7 linked regions of the Callithrix jacchus genome follow. The protein of the gene in region 7 purifies or fractionates together with the protein of the main gene of each other region. This does not show direct contact. Links are inferred from orthologs where the notes say so. Each region holds a gene or a part of one and is shown on either strand. Other genes may lie near its edges.

Evidence for each region.
Region 1: the proteins of ASF1B (region 7) and MCM6 purify together in Homo sapiens (affinity purification with mass spectrometry; 4 studies listed by BioGRID and IntAct, counting the BioPlex papers as one, with this or other methods). This does not show direct contact. The link is inferred for Callithrix jacchus from reciprocal best matches to the Homo sapiens genes ASF1B and MCM6.
Region 2: the proteins of ASF1B (region 7) and NASP purify together in Homo sapiens (affinity purification with mass spectrometry; 5 studies listed by BioGRID and IntAct, counting the BioPlex papers as one, with this or other methods). This does not show direct contact. The link is inferred for Callithrix jacchus from reciprocal best matches to the Homo sapiens genes ASF1B and NASP.
Region 3: the proteins of ASF1B (region 7) and MMS22L purify together in Homo sapiens (co-immunoprecipitation; 4 studies listed by BioGRID and IntAct, counting the BioPlex papers as one, with this or other methods). This does not show direct contact. The link is inferred for Callithrix jacchus from reciprocal best matches to the Homo sapiens genes ASF1B and MMS22L.
Region 4: the proteins of ASF1B (region 7) and HAT1 purify together in Homo sapiens (affinity purification with mass spectrometry; 6 studies listed by BioGRID and IntAct, counting the BioPlex papers as one, with this or other methods). This does not show direct contact. The link is inferred for Callithrix jacchus from reciprocal best matches to the Homo sapiens genes ASF1B and HAT1.
Region 5: the proteins of ASF1B (region 7) and CDAN1 purify together in Homo sapiens (co-immunoprecipitation; 5 studies listed by BioGRID and IntAct, counting the BioPlex papers as one, with this or other methods). This does not show direct contact. The link is inferred for Callithrix jacchus from reciprocal best matches to the Homo sapiens genes ASF1B and CDAN1.
Region 6: the proteins of ASF1B (region 7) and IPO4 purify together in Homo sapiens (affinity purification with mass spectrometry; 5 studies listed by BioGRID and IntAct, counting the BioPlex papers as one, with this or other methods). This does not show direct contact. The link is inferred for Callithrix jacchus from reciprocal best matches to the Homo sapiens genes ASF1B and IPO4.

What each region holds. Positions count from the first base shown.
Region 1 is NC_133507.1:94,681,311-94,684,360, reverse strand, and holds part of MCM6 (DNA replication licensing factor MCM6), read right to left. Parts: intron 2,678-3,050; coding exon 2,538-2,677; intron 1-2,537. UniProt on the Homo sapiens protein: Acts as a component of the MCM2-7 complex (MCM complex) which is the replicative helicase essential for 'once per cell cycle' DNA replication initiation and elongation in eukaryotic cells.
Region 2 is NC_133508.1:82,319,360-82,323,910, forward strand, and holds the start of NASP (nuclear autoantigenic sperm protein), read left to right. Parts: upstream 1-1,537; 5' UTR 1,538-1,682; coding exon 1,683-2,028; exon of another isoform or gene 2,029-2,106; coding exon of another isoform or gene 2,107-2,156; intron 2,157-4,551. UniProt on the Homo sapiens protein: Component of the histone chaperone network. Binds and stabilizes histone H3-H4 not bound to chromatin to maintain a soluble reservoir and modulate degradation by chaperone-mediated autophagy.
Region 3 is NC_133505.1:103,208,531-103,213,122, forward strand, and holds the start of MMS22L (protein MMS22-like), read right to left. Parts: upstream 3,179-4,592; 5' UTR 3,111-3,178; exon of another isoform or gene 2,888-3,110; intron 2,758-2,887; exon of another isoform or gene 2,461-2,757; 5' UTR 2,385-2,460; coding exon 2,221-2,384; intron 1,097-2,220; coding exon 971-1,096; intron 1-970. UniProt on the Homo sapiens protein: Component of the MMS22L-TONSL complex, a complex that promotes homologous recombination-mediated repair of double-strand breaks (DSBs) at stalled or collapsed replication forks.
Region 4 is NC_133507.1:57,537,360-57,541,254, reverse strand, and holds part of HAT1 (histone acetyltransferase type B catalytic subunit), read left to right. Parts: intron 1-1,917; coding exon 1,918-2,034; intron 2,035-3,895. UniProt on the Homo sapiens protein: Histone acetyltransferase that plays a role in different biological processes including cell cycle progression, glucose metabolism, histone production or DNA damage repair. Coordinates histone production and acetylation via H4 promoter binding.
Region 5 is NC_133509.1:30,490,702-30,494,596, forward strand, and holds part of CDAN1 (codanin-1), read right to left. Parts: intron 3,837-3,895; coding exon 3,716-3,836; intron 3,537-3,715; coding exon 3,427-3,536; intron 2,685-3,426; coding exon 2,595-2,684; intron 1,941-2,594; coding exon 1,865-1,940; intron 1,379-1,864; coding exon 1,173-1,378; intron 896-1,172; coding exon 775-895; intron 654-774; coding exon 507-653; intron 347-506; coding exon 180-346; intron 1-179. UniProt on the Homo sapiens protein: May act as a negative regulator of ASF1 in chromatin assembly.
Region 6 is NC_133509.1:58,495,096-58,499,481, forward strand, and holds the start of IPO4 (importin-4), read right to left. Parts: upstream 2,863-4,386; 5' UTR 2,834-2,862; coding exon 2,765-2,833; intron 2,686-2,764; coding exon 2,599-2,685; intron 2,533-2,598; exon of another isoform or gene 2,501-2,532; coding exon 2,421-2,500; intron 2,335-2,420; coding exon 2,293-2,334; intron 1,887-2,292; coding exon 1,757-1,886; intron 1,667-1,756; coding exon 1,487-1,666; intron 864-1,486; coding exon 798-863; intron 693-797; coding exon 591-692; intron 505-590; coding exon 421-504; intron 1-420. Other genes in the region: TM9SF1 (transmembrane 9 superfamily member 1), read right to left, coding at 3,470-3,863. UniProt on the Homo sapiens protein: Nuclear transport receptor that mediates nuclear import of proteins, such as histones, RPS3A, TNP2 and VDR. Serves as receptor for nuclear localization signals (NLS) in cargo substrates.
Region 7 is NC_133523.1:12,910,585-12,915,142, forward strand, and holds the start of ASF1B (histone chaperone ASF1B), read right to left. Parts: upstream 3,051-4,558; 5' UTR 2,910-3,050; coding exon 2,801-2,909; intron 1-2,800. UniProt on the Homo sapiens protein: Histone chaperone that facilitates histone deposition and histone exchange and removal during nucleosome assembly and disassembly. Cooperates with chromatin assembly factor 1 (CAF-1) to promote replication-dependent chromatin assembly.

The sequences.
Region 1 (3,050 bases), on a different chromosome or scaffold from region 7:
GAATAGCTTGAACCCAGGAGGCAGAAGTTGCAGGGATTAGGGAACCAAGATCATATCACTGCACTCTAGCCCAGGCGATAGAGCAAGACTCCATCTCAAAAAAATAAATAAACAAATAAATGAAAACATAATCAAAGTTTAGATCACTTAAATTCACAGTGTGTTCCAAAGTCCTGAAGTAGATTCCTTGCCTGGGTCGTTTTACCTTACATGGATTCCAAGGAGCACATAGACATGTCCTACCACTAGAAAAGCAACTCTGGATTGTGATCTAGTAGCTGTTCTCACACCTTCCTACCCCCCAATAATCACTGATCTACTTTATAGGAAAACTGTTTTTCAGAAGACACAACCTTAATATGTGACCTCTGTAATATTATGTAGTGAGTACTGTGAACTGAATTGGCACAAAGGTTAAATCTCTGCCACGTAATAGAAAAATTCAGTCATTCAACATATATTTGATCCTGCTATGTGCCAGGCACCACCGTAGCTCCTGGACCAAGTCTCTACCCTCATAGAGCTTATATGCTGTAAGAGAGACAAACTACACACTTAAATAAAGAATATACTGCTGGGCCATGTTAAACATTATAAAGAAATACAAGGCAGGGTGACAGCAAGAGCAGAAGGATGCTGTTTTGACAGGCTAGGCAAGAAAGGCTTCTTTGAAGAGGTAACATTTGAGCAGAAATCGGAGAGGAGGAGGAGATCTAAGGAAACAGACAAAGCGTGAGTGCAATGGCCCTCATGTTTGGTGTGTCTAGGGAACAAGGCCAGTGTCACTGGGGTGGGATGGGCAAGGGATGACCGCTGTGAAATGAAGTGAATGAGGCAGATGGGGTTTACTGGGTAAGTTCTGCAGACCATGTCAAGGGGGCTAGATTTCATTCTAATGTGAGAGACGCACTGGAAGGGAGGGTAGTAAAATAATGTGATTTATATTTTAAAAAGACCTATCTGCTGAGCAGGAAGCCAATACAAAAAAAAGGACAATGCAACAGTCCAGGCATAGTAGCTTGGGTGGACGGTAAAAAGAGAACAGAAAATACATACACACTGAAGGCCGGGGTCACAGGATTTGCTGCTGAAGAGTTGTTGTGAGGGGAGAGTAGAACCAAGAAGTCAAAGACAACTCCAAGGCGTTTGGCCTACCTACCGCAATTGAGTAAGAACAACTCAGTTGCAAACAGGGAAGAACAACTCTGTTTTTGAACACATTAAGCACAAGATGCCTGTTAGCTCATCAGTGGGCAACCAGCTCTATCCATCTGGAGTTTAGAGGAGTGGTGAGAGCTGCTGACATAAATGTGGAAGTCATCAGTAGATGGGTAAATTCATAAAACCAAATGAGATCACTTAGGTAATGAATGTAAATAATCTGAGAGTAAAGTAAGAAAAGAAAGATTCAGGCTGGACATGGTGGCTCAAGCTTGTAATCCCAGCACTTTGGGAGGCCCAGGTGGGTGGATCGCCTGAGGTCAGGCGTTCTAGACCAGCCTGGCCAACGTGGCAAAACCCTGTCTCTACTAAAAAAATACAAAAATTAGCCAGGCATGGTGGTGGGCGCCTGTAATTCCAGCTACTTGGGAAGCTGAGACAGGAGAATTGCTAGAACCCAGGAGGTGGAGATTGCTGTGAGCCAAGACTGTGCCACTGCACTCCAGCCTGCGCGATAAGAGCAAAACTCTGTCACAAAACAAAAAAAAGAAAAAGAAAGACTCAGGAAAAAGAGACTAAGAGGGAATAACCAGTGAGAAAGACCCAGGAGGATATAGTGACTCAGAACCAAGTGAAGAAGACGGCATTTCTAGGAGTGATAAACTGTAACAAAGCTGTGGACAGGCTGAGTACTGAGAATAGCCAGCTGACAGGAGTGGAGAGAAGGCATGTGATGGTCCTGTGAGAGACTAGGGCAAAGAACTGACCAAGGAAAAGGAATTGCACTGGGCAGTGCTGTCATGAGGCTGATAAGAGTATAGGAACTGTCTACTTGAGATTCCTGGTCATCAATTTAAATAAGACTGGGCTCACAATTGTATGCTTTTCTCCAGATACTTTTAGCTGCTTAGATAAGGGTACTACAGAGAAAAAAAAAAGAGGCTTTATTTAACTAAGTTTGGGGTTTTTGCCAAGCAAGTAAGACACAAAAAATTCAAAGGGTAAGGAAGAGTGACTATTGGACTGGGCAAGGTGGGAACCAGGAACTAAGGATGTGAGGAAAATGAAGCATAGAAAGTAGGTGACAGTACAACCAAGGGTGAATATGAGGGTGGAAAACAGAAGCTTATAACACCCAACTAGTAAGACCTTAATCCCACTTTCCAAGATTTAACTGCAATTCTGCTGGTTTCAGCAGAGGAAATAAATCATTTACCTGCTGTTAATTCTCCCTTGTTTTACAACTCATACTTCTGACTACACTCCAATGATTCAAAACAAACAAAGGTTAAAAAAAATTTCACTAGTGAACCTACAGATACAGGGCATGAACTCCCACCCCCCCGATACCACAGCAAGCGCATTTCTGCACTTACATAGTGTGTGAGTCGATGAATGACTTTCTCTATGATTCTTTTTTTATTTATGAGTTCTTCTTCAGAGTCTATTTCTGATTCGATTTCCTTCAAGTACCAGTTAATGAGCTCGCTCCTCTTTAATGCTGACTCGTCTTCTTCTACAAAAAAAAAACACATTTAAATTATTCTAGCAAATTGTACTGTCAGTCCTTGATTAAATTTCTGCCACATATACAACAATATAATGTACAGATTAAACATCAACCTGTCCGAAAGTACATCTACTGACGTAAGGTCCACAATGTTCTAGTGTAAGCCTGAAATAACACGTTGTTATCACTTGTATTAAAGTATGCCTTCCTTTATCCATAAGGAGAAAAACCTAATAAAATGGAGATAATAAGGAATACATTTCTTAAAGCTATTAGGATTTCAAAGTATGAAGGTCTTTTCTTCATCTTATGCTTCACCACTTCTAAGAATGTTTTCCAACAGAAACTGAAAGCATAAATTAGGAATGAAGCAACAGCA
Region 2 (4,551 bases), on a different chromosome or scaffold from region 7:
TACTCCATTACAATCCAGGTTACATGACCTGGCTCATGTCACCTAGCTAATAATGGAAGAGTCCATGTCTCTTTGCCATAGGAATTAGCATTTTTCACATCCAGCTCTCTAGCCCCAAAGATTTCAACCTCTTCAAGCCTTGACAGATTGGAGTAAGAAACCTTCCCAGGAATCTTTCCCAATATGCTGGAACCTGAAGGGAAATAACCCCTACTCTGATCAGTGTAGACTGGGCCATGGTGAAAAGGAATGGATGTGCTCCAGGTATGATGAAGTGCAGATTTTTAGCCTGACAGTTATTTTTCAATCAGCTAGTTACAGGAAATGAGGCACACTGCTTTCCATAATTGGTTTGTCTTGCAACTTTCTGAACAAGTCACACCTTCCCTGATCTTTTTTTTTTTTTTGAGTCGGAGTCTCGCTCTATTGCCCAGGCTGGAGTTCAAGTGATTCTCTTGCCTCAGCCTTCTGAGTTCAAGTGATTCTCTTGCCTCAGCCTTCTGAGTAGCTAGGATTATAGGCGCCTGCCACCATGCCCGACTAATTTTTGGGATTTTTAGTAGAGACAGGGCTTCATCATGTTGGTCCGGCTGGAAACTTGGGTTACTGTTTTTTTGAGACGGAGTCTTGCTCTGTCGCTCAGGCTGGAGCGCGCAATGGTGTGCTCTCGGCTCACGGCAACCTCCGCCTCCCTGGTTCAAGCGATTCTCCTGCCTCAGCCTCCCTAGTAACTGGGATTACAGGCGCGTGGCACCCGCCGGCTAATTTTTGCATATTTAGTAGAGAAGGGGTTTTACCATGTTGGTCAGGCTGGTCTTGAACTCCTGACCTGCTCGCCTGGGCTTCCCAAAATGCTGAGATTACAGGCTTGAGCCACCACGCCCAGCCTGGTTTTTGTTTTTGAGATGTAGTCTCATTCTGTCGCCCAGGCTGGAGTGCAGTGGCACGATCTCTGCTCACTGCAACCTTCATCCCGTGGGTTCAAGCGATTCTCCTGCCTCAGCCCCTCAAGTAGCTGGGATATCAGGCACCCGCCACCACACGTGGCTAATTTTTGTATTTTTTAGTACAGATGGGGTTTCACCACCTTGGCCAGGCTGGTCTTGAACTTCTGACTTAGTGATCCATTCACTTCGGCCTCCCAAAGTGCTGGGATTACAGGCGTGAGCCACCACGCCCTGCCCCTTGGTTTATTTTTCTAAGAAATAGACCAACACCGATCTCACCAGTAGCATTATTAAGACTGAATAAGATGGCGAACTTCAAAGCGTCTAATCACAGTACCCCCACATGTAGTCACTGAGCAAGTCAGCCAGGAGTGGACGAAAAGCACTGCGAGCATTAAACCAGCCAGATTTGGAATCTGGGCAGGGTTTACGAGGATGGTATCAGCGGATTGGGCCAGCCAAAGGGGGCGGGTCCAAAGGGAGGAGCCAGACGTTTCCCGCTGCGGCCAGAGCTTTGAATCAAGAGCGATAGCTTCAGCTGTAGCCAATCCTAGAACAAACTGTTCTTGCGTCAGTTGTTGCCGAGGCCCAGATGTCATCCAGATCAGTTGTAGCCGCTGCTGTTGTATTCGTCCTCGCTCTTGAGTGTCCATCCATTACGACTGAGAGGACGGACAGAAAGTCACCTTACTCAGTATCCAGGCCGGAAGGAGACTTTGGCTACTTGCCCTACACATGCAGAGCAGCACTGGCTTTCCTTTCTGTGGATACCGCAGGGGATTCCTGTCAGGAGTTACACTGTCAAGATTCCAGTTCTTCTTACGCGTCTTGCTGGAGAAGGAGGAAGTTGCTGTTTATCGGAGAAGGCGGGCTAGGGAGGGCAACAATCCCGCGGAGCCATCTGGAGAGGGCAGGAGGTGTCCTCGGATAGTGGGAGGCCGGGTTGGGGGCGGGGGGTATTGGTCCTGGCCCTTTAAACCCGAAGAGGAAGATCCGGAAGTGGATGGGCGGGGCCAAGGGCCATCATATATAAGAGGGCCCAGCCGCGCGGGGTCTCCAATCTGCCATTTTCTGTCCCTGAGTAAGTCCTTGGTATTCCAAATTGCTTGTTTTCTCACAGGCTCTATTCCGGTCGCTGGTTCGCCACCTCAGGGGAACGATGGCTACAGAGTCCACAGCCGCTGCCGCGGAGCTGGTTTCTGCCGACAAGTAAGCGGGACTGTGGAAAGCTTTAGGCACTGGCCAGTCCGCGGGGAGGGCTAATGGACGGGGGCTCCGAGGAAGGGATAGACCTGTGGGCGGGAGTACTTGCCTTCCTAGGAGCAACTGTCGCTGTTCGGGGAGGCCTGGTCACTGGAGCAGTTCTCTTGCTGAGAGCCTAGCGCTCCAGTGGTAACGGCGGTCGGCTGGCGCCCCTTGCCCCGCTTTTCGCGGCCGCCATCTTGCCGGGGGCAGCGGCGGCTGTATTCATCGCCTGCCCCTCTCTTTCCTCCCGCGTCCCGGGGCGGTTGACCGGGAGGCGGGGCCGTGGCTCGTGGGTTGGCCCTCACGCCCCTTCTGTCCCCAGCTTGTGCCTCGGGTAGAGTTCCTGGATAACCTGGGAATAGAACCAACGGAGATTTGGCGCCAAAAGAAAAAAAAAAAAAACCCTGCACGAGGAAGGAGGCTGGACCTCAGGGCGTCGGGAGTGGGCGGGGCCTTGTTGTGGGCGGGGTTTGCGCGCGTGTGTTTGCTTCCCTCGCTGGCTCCGGAGTAGGGGGCGGGGCCTCGAGGAGGCGGGAAAACTCCATTGTTTGGGGCCGCAGCCCGCTCCAGCAGGAGCCTTGGACTGGCTTGGTGGGGGTAGCTAGGCTAGTTCCCCCCGCGCCTAGCTCACTTCTTATCCTGGAGGATCCTTATCGCTCCCTCCGACTCAGTGAGCTCCTGCCTGTGGTAGGGAGGGTTGTAGTTCTTTATACTTTGGAGGTGTTGCCTGTTTTGGGGGAACGTTACCCGGAGGCAAAGCGTCTTCAGGAAGCGCTGTCTGGAGCTCTCACCAGCAGTGTTTGGTTGCTAGGTGAATCCGCAGTAGGATGCACGAAGTGGAGAAGAACTGGAGGGAAATAAGATAGGATTGCTTTGAAAGTGGCACAGTGCTACTCAGGCTCGTGTATTTTTTGAACAGTGGAGGGAAACACTACGTGAGTTCAAGGAAACAGGTGCTATTTTCCATAGAGTAGGTCTGATTTCCCATTCTTGCCTTATCTTTTTGAGGATCTGGTTCTATTTTTTTCTCTAATATGCACTTTAGAGGTTAGCTTCCTTCCCTGTAAAAGGAATGGTTGTTGTGAAGTTTTTAAAAATTAATATTCTGTAGGCTTACACTGACATGATTATGTCTTAGTGTATGTATAGTTACTAGAGATTTACTTATATCTCTGCTTACCCCTTTTTGTTTTCTCTGCCGACTTGCAGAGCAGTGGTTCTCAAGTCACCCTGAGAATCACCTGGCAACTCATGGGAAATACAATTTTAATTTCAAACTTACATAACCTACCTCTTTCCCTATTGGTTCGATAGGAGCAGTATAGATTGGGGTTGGGAGTCGTGCTATAACTATTACTAAAAAAAGAGCTCCTTTTCATAATATTTCATAGACAACTGTAGCATTCAGTATTTCACTGATAGGTGTCTGTTTTTGGAGACAGGGTCTGGCTCTTCAGGCTACAGTGCAGTGGTGGGATCATAGCTCACTGCAACCTCGGACTCCAGTGCTCAAGCGATCCTCCTGAGTAGCTGGAACTACAGTTGTGTGCCACCACGCCTGGCTAATTTTTTGTAGATACAGGGTCTTGGTGTTGCCCAGGCTGGTCTCGGACTCTTGGGCTCAAGCGATCCTCCTGCCTTGGCCTCCCAAAGTGTTGGGGCTACAGGTGTGAGCCACTCTACAGGGCCAGGTGTTTTATCTCTTGCAGGTCCTCTGTGTCTAGCCAGAGTTAGGTCATTAGTGAACTTAGTCTTAGCTTCCTGGCAGGTTATACATAAAGAAAGTTTATGTATATGTGGCTAGAAGAAAACAAACCATTTAAGTAGTTCCTGACACCATAAATTGAAAGCTAAAACTGAGCAATTATATGTGCTGTGTGTGTGGTGGGGGGCAGGGTCTCTTTTACCCAGACTGAAGTGCAGTGATGCCACCTCGGCCCATTGCAACCTCTACCTCCTGGGCTCAAGTGATTCTCCTGCCTCAACCTCCCGAGTAGGTGGGACTACTACTCAAGCTACTTGGGAGGCTGAGGCACAAGGCCCAGCTAGCTGATTTTTGTATTTATTTTATAGAGATGAGTTTCACCATGTTGCCTAAGCTGGTTTCCAACTTCTAGGCTCAAAGGATCTACCTGCTTGGGCCTCTCAAAGTGCTGAGATTACCCATGTAAGCTACCAAACCCAGCCAGTATTTTCATTTTCATTCCCTCATTACCCCATCTAATTAGTGTGAGAGAACAATGAAAGCAGTGTACCTCAGTTAAGTAAGTTAAGGGGACATTTAGAAGTAAAGTTTATAAGGTCCTCATGTTTAAGGGTAGGATAAAGAAAATGGAGTGAATTTAGACTTTAGGTAAGA
Region 3 (4,592 bases), on a different chromosome or scaffold from region 7:
AAGGGAAAAACTTTCATTTTTATTAATTGAGGTGACACAATGTTCAAGGTTTTTTGATTGATTGTTCGATGCAGAATCTCACTCTGTCACCAAGGCTGGAGTACGGTGGGTGATCTTGGCTCACTGCAACCTCTGCCTCCGAGGTTCAAGTGATTCTCCTGCCTGTCTCCTGAGTAACCAGGATTACAAGCATGTACCACCACACCGGCTAATTTTTCTATTTTCAGTAGAGATGGGGTTTCAGCATGTTGGTCAGGCTGGTCTGAAACTCCTGACATCATGATACACGCTCCTTGGGCTCTCGAAGTGCTGGATTACAGGCATGAGCCACTGCACCTGGCCGAGCTCATGGTTTCTAAAAGGCCCATATTTTTAAATTCATACTGAAGTATTTATGGGTGAGATGATATGATGCCTAGAATTTGCTTAAAAATACTTAAGTCAAAAGAAAAGAAGATAAGACAGATGAAGGAAATGTAATAAAAAGTTGTTTACTATAACTGAAAGAGGGCATATGGACATTCATTATATTATTCTTTTGTGTATGTGTAAAATTTTTCATTTAAAAAATTTTTTTATGTTGTCCAAATAGAAATTAGCATTTCTATTACACAGTCTAAAAGATTTATTTAGAAAGATCATACTCTAAAGAGCACTGAAAGACTATGGCTATTGAATAACCAAAGTATTTTAATTTTCTTCCAAAATTATAGTTGAAAGCCTCAAATATTTGTCAATACATGATGTCAAATGCAAAGAATAAAAATTCTGAAAATGAAATGCAACTCATTAAAACCATTACTCATCAAGTGTTGCTGCCTGATTATTGTTACTGGTAAGATAATCAAGTGAGCAACCAGCACAATTCTCCTGGTCTTTTGTAGTATCAGTATTAGAAGCCACCCAACAATGTAGTTTACAAAAGTGAACAACACCTACACTCGCAGAAAGTTAAAAAAGAAAAAAATACCTGAATAAATGAAAGAGCTCTTTGGATGAATTCACTAATGCTGTTTCAGTAACCCACTGAATGCCAAATATTTCCGATGTATCTTCTTCAAAATTAGTTGGTAAAGGATCAAGATTCAAAATTAATCTGAAATTAAAATTATGTTTTAATCTCATAAAAAGTATATTAAGCACCATAATACAACAGCTCTTCTCTTTACATTATTCAAATCCATATTATACATGACACATATAAGAAGTCAGAAAACGCCTCCGTACTTTACACATTCAAGATTACAATAGCTAGACTGTATTAAAATGTCAATCTTCCATACTGATTAAAAGTATAACTGAAGTGCAATGTAACTTAAGAGGAAAAACTGGCCGCGCGCGGTGGCTCACGCCTGTAATCCCAGCACTAAGGAAGCTGAGGTAGGAGAATCGCTTGAACCCGGGAGGTGGAGGCTGCAGTGAGCCGAGATCGCATCATTGCACTCCAGCCTGGGAAACAGGGAGACTGTCTCAAAAACACAACAAAACAAAAAACACCAAGAAGGATTCTAAGAAACATATTTCTGCCTGTCTTCACCAGTTGTCTTCAGTTGCAGAATTTCATCCTAGAGGAGACATTTAATTTTTAAAACTGCTAACAGTTATTCTGAACCAAGTCTGGAGAATTGTATCCAACTAATGAAGGTGGTACTTTAAGGTCTCTAACAAGGTACAATTAAAAAGTCAACAAAAATTAATTTCCTGACTGAAACTGCCTCAGAAGGTATTACCAAAATATTTCAAGAATAGCAGTTTTACTGCAATATGTATGTACCTGCCCGATGTAAAATAAGTCTACAAGACTTCTGTATGTATAGATAGCATTAGAAGGAACAGGTCAACAAAAAATGTTTGTCTTTTGTAAAAATTACTGGAAAGCTTCAGAGTATCATCACACTCTTTGGAAGGAAATACCATTTCAAAAGGCTCATAGTTAAGAATTCACTTTAAGTAAAAGAAAACTTAGTGCCCAGCTCCCTACAGTAAGGGAACATCAGTTACCAAGGAAGTTTTCCCTAATACACAAAATACTTTTGATACGCCCTTACCAAGAAGCCAACAGCAGAACTGATATTCATTTGTACCATTATGATATACTAAGCTGATTTATAAAACATTGTTCGGCGACCACCAAAGTTTAGTGGGCTGAAATGACAACTAACATTCCTAAAAAACTGGTGAATAATCAGATGAGGGAAAAAAAGTCTGAGTTTTACCTACCGCTTAAGGGCTCCACTGTAGAGGTGGGATTCTCCAGAAAAATGTTTTCCTCCTCCTCTGTTGTCAACAGCACAAGAAAAGCAAGGAGGTTTGCACCACTCTGTCCCCAGCTCCAGCTCTAAGCTGTCAGTCAGGAACGTCGGGGAAGCAAAACAGTTCTCCATTGTTTACTTCATGTTCTGAAATGTTTGAAGGTCGTCGTATCCTTAAGGGCTCCAAAGAGAGGGTGTGAAGAGATTCCTGGAGGTGGGGGCCGACAGACTGGGGGTTACCTCACAAAGTTCCCAAGACGTCCCCCAGCACGAAGGAAAAACAAACGAAAAACCCAGACCAAATCCCCAGTTCTTCTCCCCCGCCGCTCCGCCCATCAAGGGTGTCAGAACTTAAGATAAAATGCACAATCAACTCTGGCTGTGGCAGGGACTTCGAAATCCGCCCACCAGGTCCGACTCTGCATCCCAGAACAAGGTGAAAAGGAAAGAAATGTCTGCAGGACACAGGCGTCCCGGGCTCGCCTCGAACTGCGCCCTCTGCAACGTCACTAACCCGCCCTCCGCCCGTTTCCCAGCAGCAGGATAGAGAAAGCTCCCTCGCCAGCTGGGGGTGGACACCAGGAAGGCAATCCCTAGCGCCAACCCCGACCCTCCGAGCCGCGGGCGAGACCCACCATGCTCGCGCCCGGCAGCACTCGGGTGGAGAAGGCGGGGAGACCGCATCCTGCGCACCCAGCTGCAGCCGGGACCCCGGACGTCGGTTGCCCGCGGTGCCTGGCGTACCTACTCAAACTTCCAGCCCCCGAATTCTGCCTCCTAATACCCCAACCACAACCAGGAATCTGTGGAGTCTAAACCGCAAACAGGCGAAATTCCCGCCACCGCGCGCCCGCGTACCGGAAAGGCGGAACCGCGGCGCAGCCGGTACCCGGCAACCAATCCCTTCGCGTTATCTGCGCGGAAACAGTCGGCGCTCCACGATTCTCGCGAGAGTCTGTCAACCTGGGACAAAGTACAGAAAAACTTTTTTTTTGGACCTTTAATTGGTGCGTTCGGCTGGAAGGAGGGGCCTGGCTAAAAAAAAAAAAAAAAAAAAAAAAAAAAAGGAACTGCTGCTGAGGCGGTGGAGAGGCGGGTTTAAGGCCTGTGGGTTTCTCTTCTGGCCCGACCGAAGGGAAGAGATTTAACTCCAGTGAGTACGAAGTGAGTGACTCGTTCACACCCACAGTCGCTCCGTCGCCTCTTCTCGCTCTAGGGCCAGCAACTCTTGTTAGAATGCAGGATACCTTTTATTGTCCATGGACTGTGAGGCAGGCAAGTGTAGCAATGAATTTTCTCTGTAACCGTTGGAACAAGTAAACAGAAAATTAGTGTGGAAATTTGGAAAGCACTACCAACCAGCTTGACCTAATTGACGTTTATAGGTGAGCAACCCAACAGTAGCAGAATACTCTCTTTCTCCCTCTCTCTCCCTCACCCCCTCTCCACACACACACCACTTCTTAGTAGCAGAATACTCTCTCTCTACACACACACTTCTTACAAGAAAACTCCAGGCCAGAGCAGGCACAGTGGTTCATGCCTTTAATCCCAGCACTTTGGGAGGCTGAGGCAAGTGGATCCCTTGAGACTAGGAGTTCCAGACCAGCATGGGAACATGGTGAAACCCTCTCCCTGGTGTCTAAAAAAATTAGCCAGGCGTGGTAGTGCTCGTCTGTAGTCGCAGCTACTTAGGCTGAGGTGGGAGGATCACTTGAGCTGGAGAGGTCAAGGCTGCAGTGAACTGTGAATGTGCCACTGTACTCCAGCCTGGGCACTCAAGCAAGACCCTGTCTCAAACACAACAAAACAAACAAACAAAACCCTCCAGGCCTAATGACATTACTGTTAAATTCTCCCAAACATTTAAGGAAGGAATAATACAAATTCTATACTAACTCGTAGAGAAAATAGAAGGAGATTGGATGCTTGTTTTATGAGGCAAGCACCACAGTAGTATCAAAACCTGGCAAAGAAAAGAAAGGACAACCACAATCTGATATCACATGCAAATATAAAGGCAGAACTGTTAGGAAGCAAAATCCAGCAGTACATAAAAAGGATGACATATGACAGCTGGGCGCAGTGACTCACGCCTGTAATCTCAGCACTTTGGGAGGCCAAGTGGGCAGATCACTTGAGGTCAGGAGTTTGAGATCAGCCTCGCCAACATGGTGAAACCCCCCGTCTCTACTAAAAATACAAAAATTAGCTGGGTGTGGCATGTGCACCTGTAATCCCAGGTACTTGGGAGGTTGAGGCAGGAGAATCGCTTGAACCCAGCATACAGAGATTGCAGTGAGTCAAGATCATGTCACTGCACTCCAGAGTGAGACTGTC
Region 4 (3,895 bases), on a different chromosome or scaffold from region 7:
CCTACCTTACTAGCTTCAGCCTCTTACTGCTTTGCTACTACATGCTCTGGCTTTACTGATCTTCCAGCCATTTCCCAACTCTGCCACATCCTTCTTCCTTCTGTATTCCTTTACATATTCTATTCTCTTTACCTGAAATACTCTCATCTCCTATTTGCCTGGCCAAATAGTACTCACTTTTTCATTCTCAACTCAAGTTCCCTTCCAGGAAGGTCAGAAGATAATCATCTTCCCAACCTACCCATAGCCTAACTCCCTGCCCAAATAAATATACAAGTGAAACAACACCAACAGGAAAACTGTGGTTCTCCTTTGGCTTCATTGCTACTGAAACTTCCTGATTCTTCTGATATTTCGTTGATACCACTTGTCTTTTTTTTCCTTTTCTTTATTTTTATTTTTATTATTTTTTTTAGACAGACAGGGTCTCTCATTCTGTCACCTGAGGTGGAATACAGTGGTGTAATCACAGCTCACTGCAGCCTCAACCTCCTGGGTTCAAATGATTCTCCCACCTCAGCCTCCCAAGTAGTTGGGACTACAGGGGTACGCCCCCATGCCTGGCTAATTTTGGTAGAGACAAGATTTCTACAGACTGTTCTTTTTTTTTTTTTTTTGTCATAACATTAGCACACAATCTGCAGGCTGTTCTAAAACTCCTAGGCTCAAGTGACCTGCCCACCTTGGCAGCCTCCTAAAGTGCTGGAGACTGACAGGCATGAGCCACTGTGCCTCATCCTGTCTGCTTTTTTTTAGGACAGAGTCTTGTATTATTGCCCAGGCTGGAGTACAATGGCTTAATCTCGGCTCACTGCAACTTCCACCTCCCAGGTCCAAGCAATTCTTATGCTTCAGCCTCCCAAGTAGCCCACCACCACGTCTGGCCAATTTTTTTTGTATTTTTAGTAGAGATGGGATTTCACTATGTTGGCCAGGCTGGTCTCGAACTCCTGACCTTGTGATCCACCCGCCTCAGCCTCCCAAAGTGCTGGTATTACAGGCATGAGCCACCACACCCAGCTGCCCTGTCTGCTTTTTAACTGTCACTGTACTACCAGATTTCTGACTGACCTCCTTTTATCACTGTAAATGCTTTCCCCAGGTGACCTTAACCAACCTTATGGTTCTAACTGTTACCTATATATTGACATTGTTTAAATCCTTCCCCTTAGACTAAAATTTTCTTCAGATTTTCTATTTGCTGCTGCCTCCCAAATCTCTCCTAGGCTGTGAAAATTTACATTTTTACATTCTCCTCTAAGTCATTTTTTCTTCTTATATGTTTCTAGTGTCCTTGTCCCCTTAGTTGTCTTATTTGTGCTGTTCCAGTTCATGCCGTCATCATTTTTTATCTGATGTAATAGCTCAGCTTCTTGATTGGTCTCTCTGCCCTTCTTTTTGCTACCATTTCTATGAAGCTGAAAAACTGACTGACTTAAAACTCAAATTTGTGCATGTTGCTTACTCTCCCATTTAAAATCTGTCACAGTGGCTCATGCCAGTAATTCTTACACATTGGGAGGCTGAGGCAGGAGGATTGCTTGAAGCTGGGAGTTGAAGACCAACCTAGGGAACAAAGTGAGACCCTGTCTCTACACACACAAAAAGATTAGCCAAGTATGGTGGTGTATGCTCATGGTCCCAGCTGCTCAGGAGGCTGAGGTGGGAGGATAGCTTGAGCCTAGGAGGTTGAGACTGCGTTGAACTATGCTTGTGCCACATTAAATTATCCATACCATAATCATTTGTATTACCCACTAGACTGCTTGAAGGCAATGACTTTTATTGCCTTTCCTTTGGTATCTAGCACAATTCCTTGCACATGGCAGATATTAAATATATCCTGTGTTCTTTTGGAAAAGTGTCATTATTTTTACTTTGAAAGTGTTCACGTTTTTCTTTTGTTTCATTTATTAGCGACATGCTAGAAGGGTTTATGAAATTCTTCGACTACTGGTAACTGACATGAGTAATGCTGAACAATACAGAAGCTATAGATTGGATATTAAAAGAAGACTAATTAGCCCGTATAAGGTAGGACTTTCAAGAATCTTCAACATTATTCTTTTCACTGTTTAAAACAGAAGAAAAGCTACCAAATGTCAGTATATGGGAGAGTCCAAGTCATTTTGTAAAATTAACTTCTACAAAAGTAGAAATATTCTTCCAGTTATTTATAAAAATAATCACTCATGGCCGGGCGTGGTAGCCCACGCCTATAATCCCAGCACTTTGGGAGGCTGAGGCAGGTGGATCACCTGAGGTCAGGAGTTCAAGACCAGCCTGGCCAACATGGTGAAACCCTGTCTCCACTAAAATAAAAAAATTAGCCGGGTATGATGGCAAGTACCTGTAATCCCAGCTACTCAGGAGGCTGAGGCAGGAGATTTGCTTGAACCCAGGAAGCAGAGGTGGCAGTGAGCTGACAAGAGCAAAACTCCATCTCAGAAAAAAAATTCTCACTCATAATTTTCCAATATAAGTTATACATATGTTTCACTCATTTAGAAACTTTTCCCAGTGGTGGCTCACGCCTGCAATCCTGGCACTTTGGGAGGCCCAGGTGGGTGGATCACTTGAAGTCAGGAGTTTGAGACCAACCTGGCCAACATGGTGAAACCTCGTCTCTACTAAAAATACAAAAATAGCTGGGCATGGTAGGGTGTGCCTGTAATCCCAGCTACTTGGGAAGCTGAGACATGAGAATTGCTCGAACCCAAGACGTGGAGGTTGCAGTGAGCTGAGATTGTGCCACTGCACTCCAGCTTGGATGACAGAGTGAAACTGTGTCTCAATCAATCAAACTTATCCCAAGCATAATCTACCGTGGTTAGCTTTTCTTTGATTTGTATGCATATTTTAAAAATATGAATGCTTAAGCTCTTCCCTAACAAATTTTCTTGTTTTTCCCAAGTTTCTTGTCTTCTCAGTTGTTACACATACTCTTTTTTCTCTCATCCCATATAAAAGCAAAGTTACATATATATTCTCTTTTTCTCTGCTTTCTTCTTCATAAAAATAGCCTTTGTTGCTATTTATTAATAAAATCTCTGTACTTTACCATAGCTGAAATCATGTTAGTACTATTATATTTTTAAACATTCTTCTTGCCCTTTTTTCCCCACTTCTTAGTCATTTTCCATATTTTCCCACCTAAATTAAGTTGGCCTTACCATTTGGACATTGTCAGGATGGATATCATTCATTCCACCTTGTGTGAATGAAAATTTGCTATCTAGGCCGGGTGTGGTGGCTCACGCATGTAATCTCAACATTTTGGGAAGCTGAGTTGGGCCTATCACCTGAGCTCAGGAGTTCAAGACCAGCCTGGCCAACGTGATGAAACCCTGTCTCTACTAAAAATATAAAAATTAGTTGGCTATGGTGGTAGGTGCCTATAATCCCAGCTAATTTGGGAGGCTGAGGCAGGAGAATTGCTTGAACCCAGGAGGCGGAGGTTGCAGTAAGCCAAGATCGCACCACTGCACTTCATTCTACACAACAGCAGACTCCATCTCAAAAAAAAAAAAAAGAAAATATGCTAACTAGTTGCAGCTGAGTAGTGAGCTGATTGGCAGAATACTTAATTTATTAACAAGTCATTACTGAGTATAATTGCTTAATGTTGAAATGTTATTGCTACATTTATATATACTATACCTATAAGGTTATATACAGCACAGTAGCTGGGATAGAAACGACCAAGTTGAACCTTCGTTAAAATCTGACGAAAGTAAATTAAATAACTATATCAAGTACATGTAGTTTTGGCTTTCCTTTGTAAATTTAAAGAAAATTTAAGGTTTCTTTGCCATGCATTCTGCTTTATAGAACCAGTCTTGAATGCCGATGGTTTATTGGCTCACAGTACTTGCTGAATCCCAACTCTTTTTTC
Region 5 (3,895 bases), on a different chromosome or scaffold from region 7:
AGTGCAGATGATTTCCCACTGTCTGCCTCTGGGGAGCCAATTCTGCCTCTCCCACGGCTCAGTTATGGCCAGGGCACCACGCAATGCAGACTCCTCAACCCTCTTTATCAATAACAGGCTTGACCAGTGTCCCCCTACTCTGGAATCCTTTCGTCAAACCTTAGCCTGGCTCCACTCACCGGTGCAGGCGCAGCAGGAGAGTGAAGATGCCCTGATAATAGTCCAGCAAGGGAACAACATGGTCAGCAAAGGACAGGAACTCCACCAGCCAGGGCACAGTGAGCACCGCCCGGCGGGCCTGCAGCCCTCGCTGCAGCAGAGTCCGTACATCCAGGACCGGAGGGACCTGGGAGGGCCAGAGCTCAGTTAGAGGGCAGGTCCCTGGGAAGGGCTGGGAGATGCTCTCTAACCTGCCTGGTTCCCGGAATAGCCAAGGAAACCAGTGAGCCTCAGTGCCTGGCTGGTCCTCCCTGCTCCCTCCTCACCAGAATCCCCCGCCCATTCACCTGGCTCCTGAGGGCCAGAATGGAGTCCTGAAGCTCACCAGTCGGGGGAGGTTCAGGCCCCCGGTATGGCAGGAAAGCTACAAAGCCCAGGAATTTGGCCAAAAGCCTCAGGCTAAGAAGCACCACAGCAAATTGCCTCCGTTCACCCTGCATGGAATCAAGGGAAGTAAAAAGTCCAAGCATGAGGCTTCCAGAACAATTTTTTCTTGAACATATTCCCTTCCCTCCAGGGTCAGACCCCATTATTTCCCTTGTTCTGTTTTCAGACCTGCCAGTCTACATCTGACTCCCCATCTTCATCACTGGGCTCATGCTGGGGCAGGGTGAGGCCATTGAGCTCCCGGATCTTCAAGCTCAGACTGTCCATGAGATGCTGGTTAAACTGGAAGCTGAGAAGGGGTGGGTGGGGCATAAGCACTGGAAGAGGTGCAGGAAGAGGCAGATTCAAGAAGGAGCACTCCAGAGGGAAGGGAGCAGGACAGAAAGGGAAGCTGAGGAGCAACAAAATCACCCATGTGGGTGACAGAAGTGCAATGAAGCCAGCAAGTACAAGCTGGAAGAAGCCTATTCTGTTATATTCCAGGCAAAGGAGACTGTTTACCCTTTTGGGAAGTTACACCTTTCCTGGCCTCTGCCCCATTCCTTGTAAGACACAGGGGAGCCTACCTGCTGGCACTAAGAATGAAGTCCCTGAAGAAGCCTTGACAGCCTGGGAAGGTCGGGGGTGGGCAGGGCCCCCCACTGCTCTGAGGGGTCACAAGCCGTTCCTGTAGGCGCCACAACCGCCCCAGCTTGTCAGCTCCCAGCATACTCAAGACATCTGGGGCCTCGCCCAAGACAGTGCCCCCAGCACCGCCAGGGCTCTGACACATCTCGGGTGAGAGAGAAAGGAGAGAAATTAAATAATCAGTAAGTGGGAGGGAAGGACTGAACAAAATAAGGAGAAAGTAATCAACATTTAAGGAATGCACTTTAGATAGCTTTTCTGAGGTGTGAATTACAGGATTGTTTCACAGGTGAAACTAAAACTGCAAGGTTAAGCATGCGCCTAGGGTCACTAGCTAGGATCTGAAACTAAGCTTGACTACTTACTAAGCCTGGGCTCCTTACCACAGCACAAATCAGAGGGAAAGCAGCAGCAGGCTGGGGGAGATACAGGGTCCAGGGCATGTCAGAGAGTGCCCTGGCTTTTCTTTGTCCATGCAAGTTTCAGCCACCCCACCAAGGAGTAGAACTCTTGTTCAAATTCCAGCCCAGGACATGCCTGGCTGTCTGCCCTATCCCAAAGTGCAGTCATTACGTGGCTGCCTCTGATATCTGCTGTTTAATGTGGATTAATCTCTTGCTGGGGCTGTTACCTGGAGTAGTTGTTTTTGGAAAAGTCGAACAAAGTGGCTGTGACTGCAGGCTGCAGAGAGCTGACCCATCATGGCTCTGAGGAACAGAAGGCAGGAATGAAGGGTGTGGAGGGGAGAGAGAGGAAGAAAGATGAGAGAAGCAGCCAACCCTTGGGCTTCCCAGCCCTTTAGCAGGAACTTGAGCCAGCCTACACAGGGACATTGAAGGTAAGGGACACTCCCTCAGCACCAAGTTCCCCAAAGTTAGAGGTGCACTTAACCAGAATATCACACCATCCCTCCTGTCTTCAGCCGCACTGACAGGTGGCGAGTTTCATGACCGATGTGAAGGGAGATGACTGGACTGAAGTAGGCATTCTGAGCCCAGGCATCTACCTACAGTGACCAGACTTGCCCAAACTAGAGAATGGAGAAAATGGAGGCTAGATGCGTCTAACCAGTGGCTTGGGCCAAAAAAACTCCAGCAGCCTGGGTTAAGAGCTTTGGACTTTTTCCAAGCATTTGCCACTACAGAATAAGAATAAGGCACTTTTGAGTGAAAAGAGCTTAAGAGACACATCCCTTTCAAGTAGAGGCAGAGTTATCAGTAACTAAAGATATTTCAGACAATAGAACAGAACAGCTAAGGGCTTGAAGGAGATGGGGAAAGCCTTCCCTCCTCCATCAGTTCCCTGAGCGGCACTGAGCTACTCACTGCCAGGCACAAGAAAGACAAGGTCTGAGCACCCACCTGATTCTGCTGCCCAAGCCCTTCTCAAAATCCCAGCCAGCCTCCTCATGGTGATCTTCCCACTCTCGCAGCACCTCATAAAACACATCCCTAACGCATAAGAATGCCTGATCAGCTGATATACTCACTCCCACCAGTGTCTTCCCACCCCTGGAAGAACTGAGGACAGGACTATCCACAGCCCCATTTTTTTTGTTTTGTTTTTGGAGATGGAGTCTTGCTCCTGTCACTCAGGCTGGAGTGCAATGACGAAATCTCGGCTCACTGCAACCTCTGCCCCTTCCCCACCAAGCGACTCTCCTGCCTCAGCCTCGGTGTCCCTCACCACACCCAGGTAATTTTTGTATTTTTAGTACATATGGGGTTTCACCATGTTGGCCAGGCTGGTCTTGAACTCCTAACCTCAGAGTTCAAGTACTTTGGACCTCCCAAAGTACTGGGATCACAGGCATAAGCCACTGGGCCTGGCCAGCAGCCCCATTTTTTAATCTCTCAAGAATTCTCTACATAACGGCACTATAGACCAGCAGCAGCATACTACAGGCTTCATGTGCTTCTGTGGGCAGTTCACCCTGACACACTCTTGCCTGAGAACCCTGAGACTAAAGCCATACACCTGTGACATGGCTGGGTAAGCGCTAGGGTTTAGGTCCACAGGTGCACAACAGAAGGAAGCCAAGTGGCCCCTATGATGGCCGGCAGTAAAGACCTGGGAGGACTAACCCACCACCTAGTTAGTGCTAAACTCATAATTTTTATGAAACCAAAACAGCTGCCTAGTCCAGAAAAATGTCATCTCATTCCCTCCCCCAAAAGTCCCTTTTCTTATCACCTCTGTTTTTTAAAAGTATGAAAGGCTCGGTCACTGGAGAAGTTGGCACGATTGTCAGTCTCTGGCTGAAAGGAGACAGCCTGAGCAGAGGGTGGCATCACCAGAGAGACCTAAAATACAGCAGGAACATTAGGAACTGCAGGGTCATGCTGAGAAAACTTCTCCCTCTTATTCTCGCCCAAAGTTAGCTCACATTACACTTAAGTGTCGTCAGCAGGGTTGCAGGACTTTATGTAAGCTAAGCAAGGATCAGGTCCAGGCCAGTGGGCATCTAAGCTGGAGTTACTACCTTGGCAACACTGCCCTCATAGGCAGCTCGAAGGCGGCCTTGCAGAGCTGGTGAGAAGCACAACAGCCGCTCATTCTCAGCCAGCAGCTTCAATGTCCCTTTGTCCAGATTGGAAAGAACCCTGCAGGGACAAGAGCACCTATGACTGAGACGGGAACACAGACTGCAAGTAGCAAGCAA
Region 6 (4,386 bases), on a different chromosome or scaffold from region 7:
AGACAGATCACCTGAGGCGGGGAGTTGAAGACCAGCCTGACCAACATGGAGAAACCACATCTCTACTAAAAACACAAAATTAGCTAGGCATGGTGGCACATGCCTGTAATCCCAGCTACTGGGAGGCTGAGGCAGGAGAATCACTTGAACCCAGGAGGCAGGGGTTGTGGTGAGCTGAGATTGCACCATTGCACTCCAGCCTGGGCAACAAGAGCAAAACTCTTATCTCAAAAAAAAACAGTCTTCCAGGCCATAGGGGTCTGACAGAAGATTCCCAATATCCGAGGCAGGAGTTGGGGTGAGGCCAGGGCAAGGCTTGAACCCCCATAGTACTTTAGATACCCTGAGATGGACAGAAAGCCCCAAAAGTGAGATTAAGGGTGGAGATGGACAGTTGGTGATGTGTCAATGGTAACTCACCTTGCTTTTGACTTTGACCAAGAAAGTGAGGGAGCAAAGGATACGTACACGTATCGCATTGCCCAGGGCCACATTTCTAGCCACCTGTCCAGAGAATAATAAGAATCAGAGCCAGGCAAGCAAAGTCCCAGCAGGGCATGTAGCCGGTGCCATGTCCATTCCAGGCTCACCTCCAGGCAGAATGTGAGGACCTTAGAGAGGTGGGGAGTGATGATGGGTACCTCTGACTCCAACAGTTCATCCAAAGCCTCAAGGGCCTCACAGGCCTTTGCCTGACAGACAAAACAAGGCACAGGGTGACCATGCTCTTCTTCAGTGGGCCCAGCTGACACTTCTGCACTCTCCTTCCAACAGAGCTCCTGCCCACCTGTCCTCACCTCGTCTATGGGGATCAGGGTCTGCACTGCCACAATCAGCTTAGGCACCAACATCTGAGCGAGAGGCTAAAAGACACATCACAGAGAGCATGATGCAGCCTAATCTTACAACCCAACAGCTGGCAGCTTCCTCACAGCCTGAATTGTGAGGAGGAGCCCAGGAACAAGCCAGGCCCACCTACAGCATCCCCTCTCAATTGTCAGGAAGGGCCAAAGGCAGGTAAAGAATCCAAAGCAGCTTTGGGTGTGTGTGTGTGTGTGTGTGTGTGTAGGGGCCAAAGGCAGGTAAAGAATCCAAAGCAGTTTTGTAGGGTGTGTGTTTGTGTGTTTTGAAACAGAGTCTCGTTCTGTTGCCAAGCTAGAGTGCAGAGGTGCGATCTCAGCTCACATAACCTCTGCCTCCCTGGTTCAAGTGATTCTCCTGCCTCAGCCTACCGAGCAGCTGGGACTATAGGCACACACCACCACACCTGGCTAATTTATTGTACTTTTAGTAGAGACAGGGTTTCACCATGTTGTCCAGGATGGTCTCGATCTCTTGACCTTGTGATCTGCGTGCCTTTGCCTCTGAAAGTGCTGAGATTACAGGCATGAGCCACCATGTCTGGCACAGCTTTGTAACTTTTAAGGGTGAGGACATGAAGGCCTGAGGAAAGGCAGTCAGTGATATGAGTGGGCCCACATCTCACCACATCTTCAGTGCTGAGGTAGGGGGCCATGGTGGTCAGAGTACGCAGGGAGTAGAAGAGCAGCCCAGGAGAGCCCACCTCACCAAGAGTCTCATTCAGAAGCTGAAGAAGCTCCCTATGGTGGGGTTGGAAGGCCTCGGGCCAGGAGGTCACCACCACACTCAGCAGCAAAAGCCCCATCTGTCCAAGAGTAGAGGATGGGAGGGCGAGCTTACATGGTCTATCCGGCCTCTTGGGCCCTCCCTCCTCCTGCCAACTATGTAATGGTACCTCTCTCTCTGGGCTGTGGGGGCTGTGGGTACTGTGCTGAAGAAGCTGCAAAAGCTGAGGCCAGGCCTCCAGGCCTTCCTTTCGAAAAATGGTGCCTGAAAGCTGGGCCAAGCTGAGGATCACACAGTGCCTGCAAACAGGAGAGATCTCCAGTCACCCTCCAATGCCTTCCTCTTGAGTGGCCAGACTCATTGGGGCAGCCAGGAGGGAAACTTTCAGGAGTGGTGGGCACAGGGTCTTTGCCAAGTTGGGACACATGAGATAGAAGCTCAGAGGGAGCCCAGCTGCACTGCGGGCATGTAATCTGGTAAGCTCAGTCTTACTTAGCCTGAATTTCAGTCTCATTCTTCTGACTTTGGTTTGCCAGATCATCATCACCCTTTCTCAAGAACTTCAGTCTTCGAAACAGCCTTAAAATCTTCACTTTGGTCTAGAACGGAAGTCCTTGCCCCCCAAGTCCCAGCCTGCAGCTGAAGGGGAAGGCAGAAACCCAAAGAAGGTCGTCAAGATCCCGAGAGAAGGGAGTAGATACTCACTCTGTTTCTCTCTGCAGGGCCGTCAAGATCAGGGACTTGAGGCTAGAACACAGATGGCAGGTGTTTGGTACCCGGCCTGCCCAAGAAAAGCTTCCACCTGGCCCCGCCCCGCCCCAGGCCCAGCCCACCTCTCCCGTTGCTCCGCCGCCAGCCGTCGCCAGCGGGTGTTCAATCGTCTGCGGGTCAGCACGGCCGCAAACTGGCGGATCTGGGACGAGGAAGTAGGCATGTGGGGGTCCGGTAAGGAAGGTGCTGAGGGGACCGCACGGGGCGTTTACTGGGGCTTGGCCAGTGCAGGGGTCTCACCTGGGGGTCGGCTGCCGAGGTGAGCAGGTCGCAGAGAGCCGGCAAGGCGGCGGGGGCCCGCAGAGCGATGTGGAGCTGTTCCGTGGCCTAGGGGAAAGCTAGGAGTGAGAGTCGGGCCTTTCCCGCAACCTCCCGCTCGCCCTGGTCGGTTACGCCCGCTCCATACCCGAAGGATGCGCTCGGTGTCCGGCAGCAGCAGTTCCCGTAAGAGCTGCTCCAGACTGGCGGGCTCCATGGCAGCAGCTGAGCCGCCGCTATTGGGCTGAAAGGGGGAGGGGGAGGGGGAGGGACAGCACGTGGAGGCTGACAGCCACTTCCGGCGGAAAGGGCGTTGCCGCACGCCCCGCGGGTCGCCAAGGTGATTCAATTCACTTCCCACAAAGACGTCCGGCTCCTCCACTTCCGTTAGGCTGAGCACCGGCTGAGTCGCGGAAACCGTGCTCTGGCAATATAGGTTCCCCACGCTGAGAGTTCCCAAGCTGGGTTGGAGAACTCGAAATTCGGTTATTCCGTGGCCAGCTCCGCTTTCTAAAGGGCCGTGCCGTTAACAGCAGGGCTCGCGTTTCTATATCCAGACCAAAACCTCCAACTACATGATCCTTTTTCTTAATAAATTTTATTTTGATAATTGTAAAAAGAAAAATCAGGACCAAAACTAAAGGCAACTTAAAAAGTTCAAATATATATTCCTTAATATAATAGAGATTTATAATTTCCAGGCCCTCTCTGGGGAAGGAAGACCCAAAGGGCAAAGGGGAAGGCAACAATGCCATCACACAGTTCAGTCACTCAATCAAAAGAGAAGCTGGTAGGACAGCTCAACGGGGCGTGAAGAAAGGGAGAGAACAGCAGTAGTTCTGCCATTCAGAACTCAGTCCATTTTGAGGTTAACATAGATATAACGGATGAACTTGAGGGAAGAAAAAAAGGAGATGGTGCCCAGCATGAGGAAGAAGACATAACCAGTGAGTAAGGAGTAGCCAAAGAACTCTACTGTCTGTACTGCCCCAGACATGTTGGAGCGCCGGGCATAATAGAAAACTGAGTAGAGGAAGATGAAGAGGCCGGTGGAGCCAACACTTAGCACAGATCGCCACCACCAGCGGTAATCCTCCCCAGATAACTGGAAGTAGGTGAGTGCAATGGAGATGCAAGCCCCCACACTCAGCAGGATAGCGAAGACAAAGAAGAGGATGCCATACAAAGTGTACTGCTCCCGACCCCATACTGTGGCAAAGATGTAGTACAGCTCCACAGAGATGGCACTGTGAAGAAAAGAGATGATACACAGCATTAAAGGGCTGTGCACTGTCAGCACGGTGGCTGGGCCAAAATCCAGCCCCCACCCTCTCCCATGTTGCTGGGTCATTGTGAAAAGTGAGTTCACTCCACTCTCTGCCCCAGAACTCCTAGCTTCATGGGAATTTTTTGCCTATGATTAACTGCTCTCACTTCAAGAGTATCTTCCCTGATAGGTTAAGGGCAGGGATGTTGTCCATTTTACTTTCCACTTCATTCTCTGCTTGGCACAAAGAGGTATTCAACAAAGTAAATGAGTAATCAAATAGGCTTTAAGTCTCACATGATGGCCATAGACACTAAGGTTGGAAACCAGGAAGGTGAAGAGGGAGATGTCTCTAGAGAGCTTTATAAGTGAGATACTCTCATATCTGAACTGATTCAAGCTCAGTCCTGCTTGGGGATAGGAGGAACCATTTAATGATCTCTGAATGGTACTGCTGAACAACACATCATCACCGAAGTTGGGTTAGGGTACTGGATAAGTAG
Region 7 (4,558 bases):
GTTGACCAGGATAGTCTTGATCTCTTGACCTCGTGATCCACCCGCCTCGGCCTCCCAAAGCGCTGGGATTATAGGCGTGAGCCACTGTGCCCCGCCAAGTCATTCCATTTCTATTAAAAAATGACCAGCAGGGCCAGGTGAGGTGGCTCATGCCTGTAATCCCAGCACTTTTGGAGGCCAAGTCTTGTGTTCAGGAGTTCGAGACTAGCCTGACTAACGTGGTGAAATCCCATCTCTACTAAATTAGCCAGCCATGGAGGTGCGTGCCTGTAGTCCCAACTACACAGGAGGCTGAGGCAGAATTGCTTGAACCCAGGAGGCAGAGGTTGCAATGAGCCAAGATCGTGCCACTGCACACCAGCCCGGGCAACAGAGCAACACTCTGTCTCAAAAAAAAAAAAATACCAGCAGGTTGACTTTAGCCTTTCCAACTAATTCTCTAAGTAAGTTAGTAAAGTCACAGGACAGGAGCTTCCTAGGAGTAGAAGTATCAGATAATGACCGCATCACCATTTGTAAATGCAAGGAACACAAACAGGCTGATTGAAACCCGATCTCCTGCCGCCTGGAAGCTGGGAATCCCTCAGCCTATTACCTCCTTCCATCTCCTCCTGGCTTTTAAATTAAATCTTATTCCACAGTGACATTCTACACTTTATTTATTTACATGCTGCCCTGTTCCAGAAAGGATTTAACTTGGCTTATTCTATAGTTAGCCACAAGTAGACTCCTCAGGAAGAGGTGGACCTACTGGCCTACCCAGAGCACATCTGAATCTCACTGTATCAGCCCCGAGCTAATACACGCCACCAGCTTGGAGGGGAAACCACCCACCTGACCCCAAGAGGCACTAGTTAGCACCCCCGGCTTCACAGGCCACTGCACGGCCACCTCCTCGGCTGTGCCTTTTCTCTTTTAACCACCAAGTAGAAAAATGGCCTAATGAAGTACTTCTTCCTGAAAGCAGGACTCGCCTTTTAGTGGTGCCAAGGCTCCCTGGGTGACCTTAGATTCTGGATTGTACAAGCCTTGACGTGAAAGGTCTTTTGCGCTTTGTGCCTCCTGTCCTCTCATCTGTGAGATGAGAGCCATGTGCACCTTTAAGTCACACAGATTAATAAGTACATCTGCGGAAGCACCTTGGAAAAGATGCGTAAGAGGCTGTGACCCCTAAGCTCCAGCTGACTGTTTGAAGCTGGAGCCTGTCAGAGCTCAGCCCAGTCCACCCACCCCCAGACTAGGTCAGACCATCAAAAGCAATGGAAGCTTGGCACTGATTATCCAGCTATATAAAAGAAGAAAGGAAGAAGAAGAAGAAACAAGAAGAAAACTAGGCGCAGTGCCTCATGCCCGTGTAATCCCAGCACTTTGGGAGCCTGAGGCAGGTGGATCACAAGGTTAGGAGTTCGAGACCAGCCTGCCTAACATGGTGAAACCCTACTAAAAATACTAAAATTGGCCAGCTGTGGTGGCCTGTGCCTATAATCCCAGCATTTTGGGAGGACAAGGTGGGTGGATCACTTATAGTCCATAGTTCGCAACCAGCCTGGCTAACGTGGTGAAACCCCGCCTCTACTAAAAATACTAAAATTAGCCGGGCGTAGTGGCAGGCGCCTGTAATCCCAGCTACTCAGGAGGCTGAAGTTGCAGTGAAGTGCCACTGCACTCCAGCCTGGGCAACAGAGCAAGACTCTCTTTCAAAAAAAGAAGAAAAAGCGAAGAATTGCTGCAGTCAGTCAGCTGGAAATGGGCGGGCAAACCTGGGGAACTACTAATGCCTGCCTGGCTATGCCACCCCTCGGATCTCAGCGTGTATGTCCAAGCCCACAGAAGAGGGTGGGGAAAGGGAGCTGGGGAGACCAAGTTACTGCAAAGGGTAGCATCCTTCCCCGGGGGAGCTCAGGGATAGGGAGGTTGGGCCCCAACGAAGGAGGGAAATCAGGTTCCAGGGTATGTGCATTGGGGTAGAAAACCAGCAGCAATTGGTGGGGGGCAGGGTTATTGAAATATCGGCAGGTTGGGGAGGGGAGAGCCGGGAGACAGATGGGAAGATGGGGGAAGAGAGCGGTCTTGACAAGGGATTGACGGGTTTTCATAGGGAAAAAAGGTTACTGGAGGGGAGGGTCTTCACGGTGGGGGGAGAAGGGAGTTGGGGGAGAGGTCTCCATAGGGGAAATAGAAAATGGCTGGGATTTTCCCCGGGAAAAATGGGAAGGGGCTGGAGAGTGGGGTCTCCAGAGGGAAAAAGGGAGATGGGAGTATCTCACTATAGGAAAGAGTCTAAGTGGGCAAAAATGGGTGGGTGGCTGAAACAGGGGTCTTGCCACAGGGAAGCCACAGTGGCTGAAGATCTCCGTGGGTTAAGAAATAGAGGCCGAGAAGGTCTCTGCATGAAAATGGGTACCTCGGAAGAGCTCCAAAGAAAAAAGATGGATGAGGCTCCCCACGCTGGAAATGGGGCTTGGGTGGGGGGCGTTAATCTCTATGGGGAGGTTGGGGCGGGCAGTGGCGAAGATCACTGGGATGTCCGAGTTGGCTAGCGGGAAGCCTCCACCCGGGAGGTCAATGCGGGCAGTGGGGAAGGAAGTCCCGGGGAGGTCCAGGTTGGCTGGTGACTGGGGGGGGGGGGGTCTCCACCCGGACACCGGGTTGACTGGCGGGCTGGGGGAGATCGGGGTTAGCTGAGAGGGAGGACGAGGAGTTTCATGGGGGAGATCAAGTTGGCCATGAGAGCAGTTTTCCGCGGGGAGGCCGGGGTCGGCCCGAGGGTGGGGATTAACCCGCACAATCCCAGCCTCACCGTCCGCCAGGGCTTCACTGCACTCGAAGCTGATCTCGAACCGGAAGGGGCTGTGGAAAGGGCTCGGGTTCTCCAGTACCGCCACGTTCAACACCGACACCTTGGCCATCGCCTCGCCTCGCCTCACTGCGCTGCAGCAGGGGCAGGGGCAGGGGCTGTGGCCGAGGCCGCGTCTGGGTCCGGTGGTGAGGTCAGCGGGGTAGGGTTGACAAAACCCACTCCAAACTCTTCCCTCCGCGGACTGAAGTGCGCATCTCGTACGCGCGCCGCCTTCAAATAGCCGGCCTCCGCCCTCTGGCCAATCACCGCCAACGCTCCCTGGCGGCGCGCGCACCCTCTCAGCCAATCCTGGAGCGCCAGTCGGCGCGCGCCCAGACTCCTTGGACCAATCAGCGGAGCTCCCTCTCCGCGGAGCGTGAGGAGGGTGGAACCACCTCCAGGCTTCTTAGCGTGTCCTCTGGGAACCAATCCCCAGCGTCTCCGACTAGGAGGTCAACGGCAGGAGTGGACAGAGTCAGAGCGCCGGCCTCCTGCTGGCCAATCCTGAGGGTTCCCGCACCGGCGTGGCCCGCCCCTCGCCCCACTATTCCGGGATATGTATCCCGCAGCGCGCAGCGCCGCCAACCGCCGAGCGGTGGCGCGCGGTGCTCGCTAAAGAAGGCGGGAAGGGCGGTGCTCGCACCCCCAGTGATTGGCAGGAGGGAGTGGGGCGGAGATAAAGAGGGTTTTTTGAGAGTTGATTGGCTGGATTGGTAATGAAAGCGGGAGCCTAAGGAGGCTCAGCTGGGGATTAGTTGGAGAGAAGCGGAAGTGGGAGTTACCCTGGTGCCGGGGTGTGTGAAGAGAGAGGAGGAGCGTTTGCGGCCTCAGCGTCTGTTCAACAGGTGAGCGTCTGCTGGAGCTTTTCTGAGTGGCTGGCTCCTGACCTCGAGGTGCAGCAGCCCGGGTGTCCGTTGTGAACGTTGTGAACGTTCGGAGTGGCGGTCACGCGCCGCGCTCGGACCTCGGGAGTCTGGCCGAGTTTGGATCCCGTTCTTGCCCCCGAGGGGTTGGAATCCCTTTCTCGCCCCCTGGTGGGCTCTTGGGAGGTTTCAAGCGGACGGAACTGAAAATGGGAGTTCCAGTTCGAGTCGGTGCTCTGCTACTCGGCTTTCGAGGCAGCGTCTCCCTTCCCATTGAACGGGCCGTGGAAATTCCCTGGCATGACTCATGACCACATAATACATCCAGAAACTTCTCTCCGCCGCATCCCACCTGGGCCGTCGCCTGGGAGACTGTCCCACGGGAAATCAGCGCTGCCCAGTGGAAAAGTAATGCCTGCCGCGCACCTAATTATACATTTTTTGGAAGCCACTTAAAAAAAAACCGAGTCTCGCTGTGTGGCCCAGGCTGGAGTGCAGTGGTTCCATCTTGGCTCACTGCAACCTCCACCTCCCAGGTTCAAGAGACTCTCCTTCCTCAGCCACCCCGGAGTAGTTGGGATTACAGGCGCACACCACCATGCCTGGGTAATTTTTGTTTTTTCGTAGAGACGGAGTTTCTCCATGTTGGTCGGACTGGTCTCGAACCCCTGACCTCAAGTGATCCGCCCGCCTCAGGCTCCCAAAAGTGCAAGAATTACAGGCGTGAGCCACAGCTCTGAGCCGCTAACACACAGCGTGTTGCGTTCTTTTACCCAGTGAAAAGACGTTGAGATTCCTTGTGTTGTACACTCAGCTGCACGTCTGTCATCGGGCATGTGAATACATTTTCTTCAAA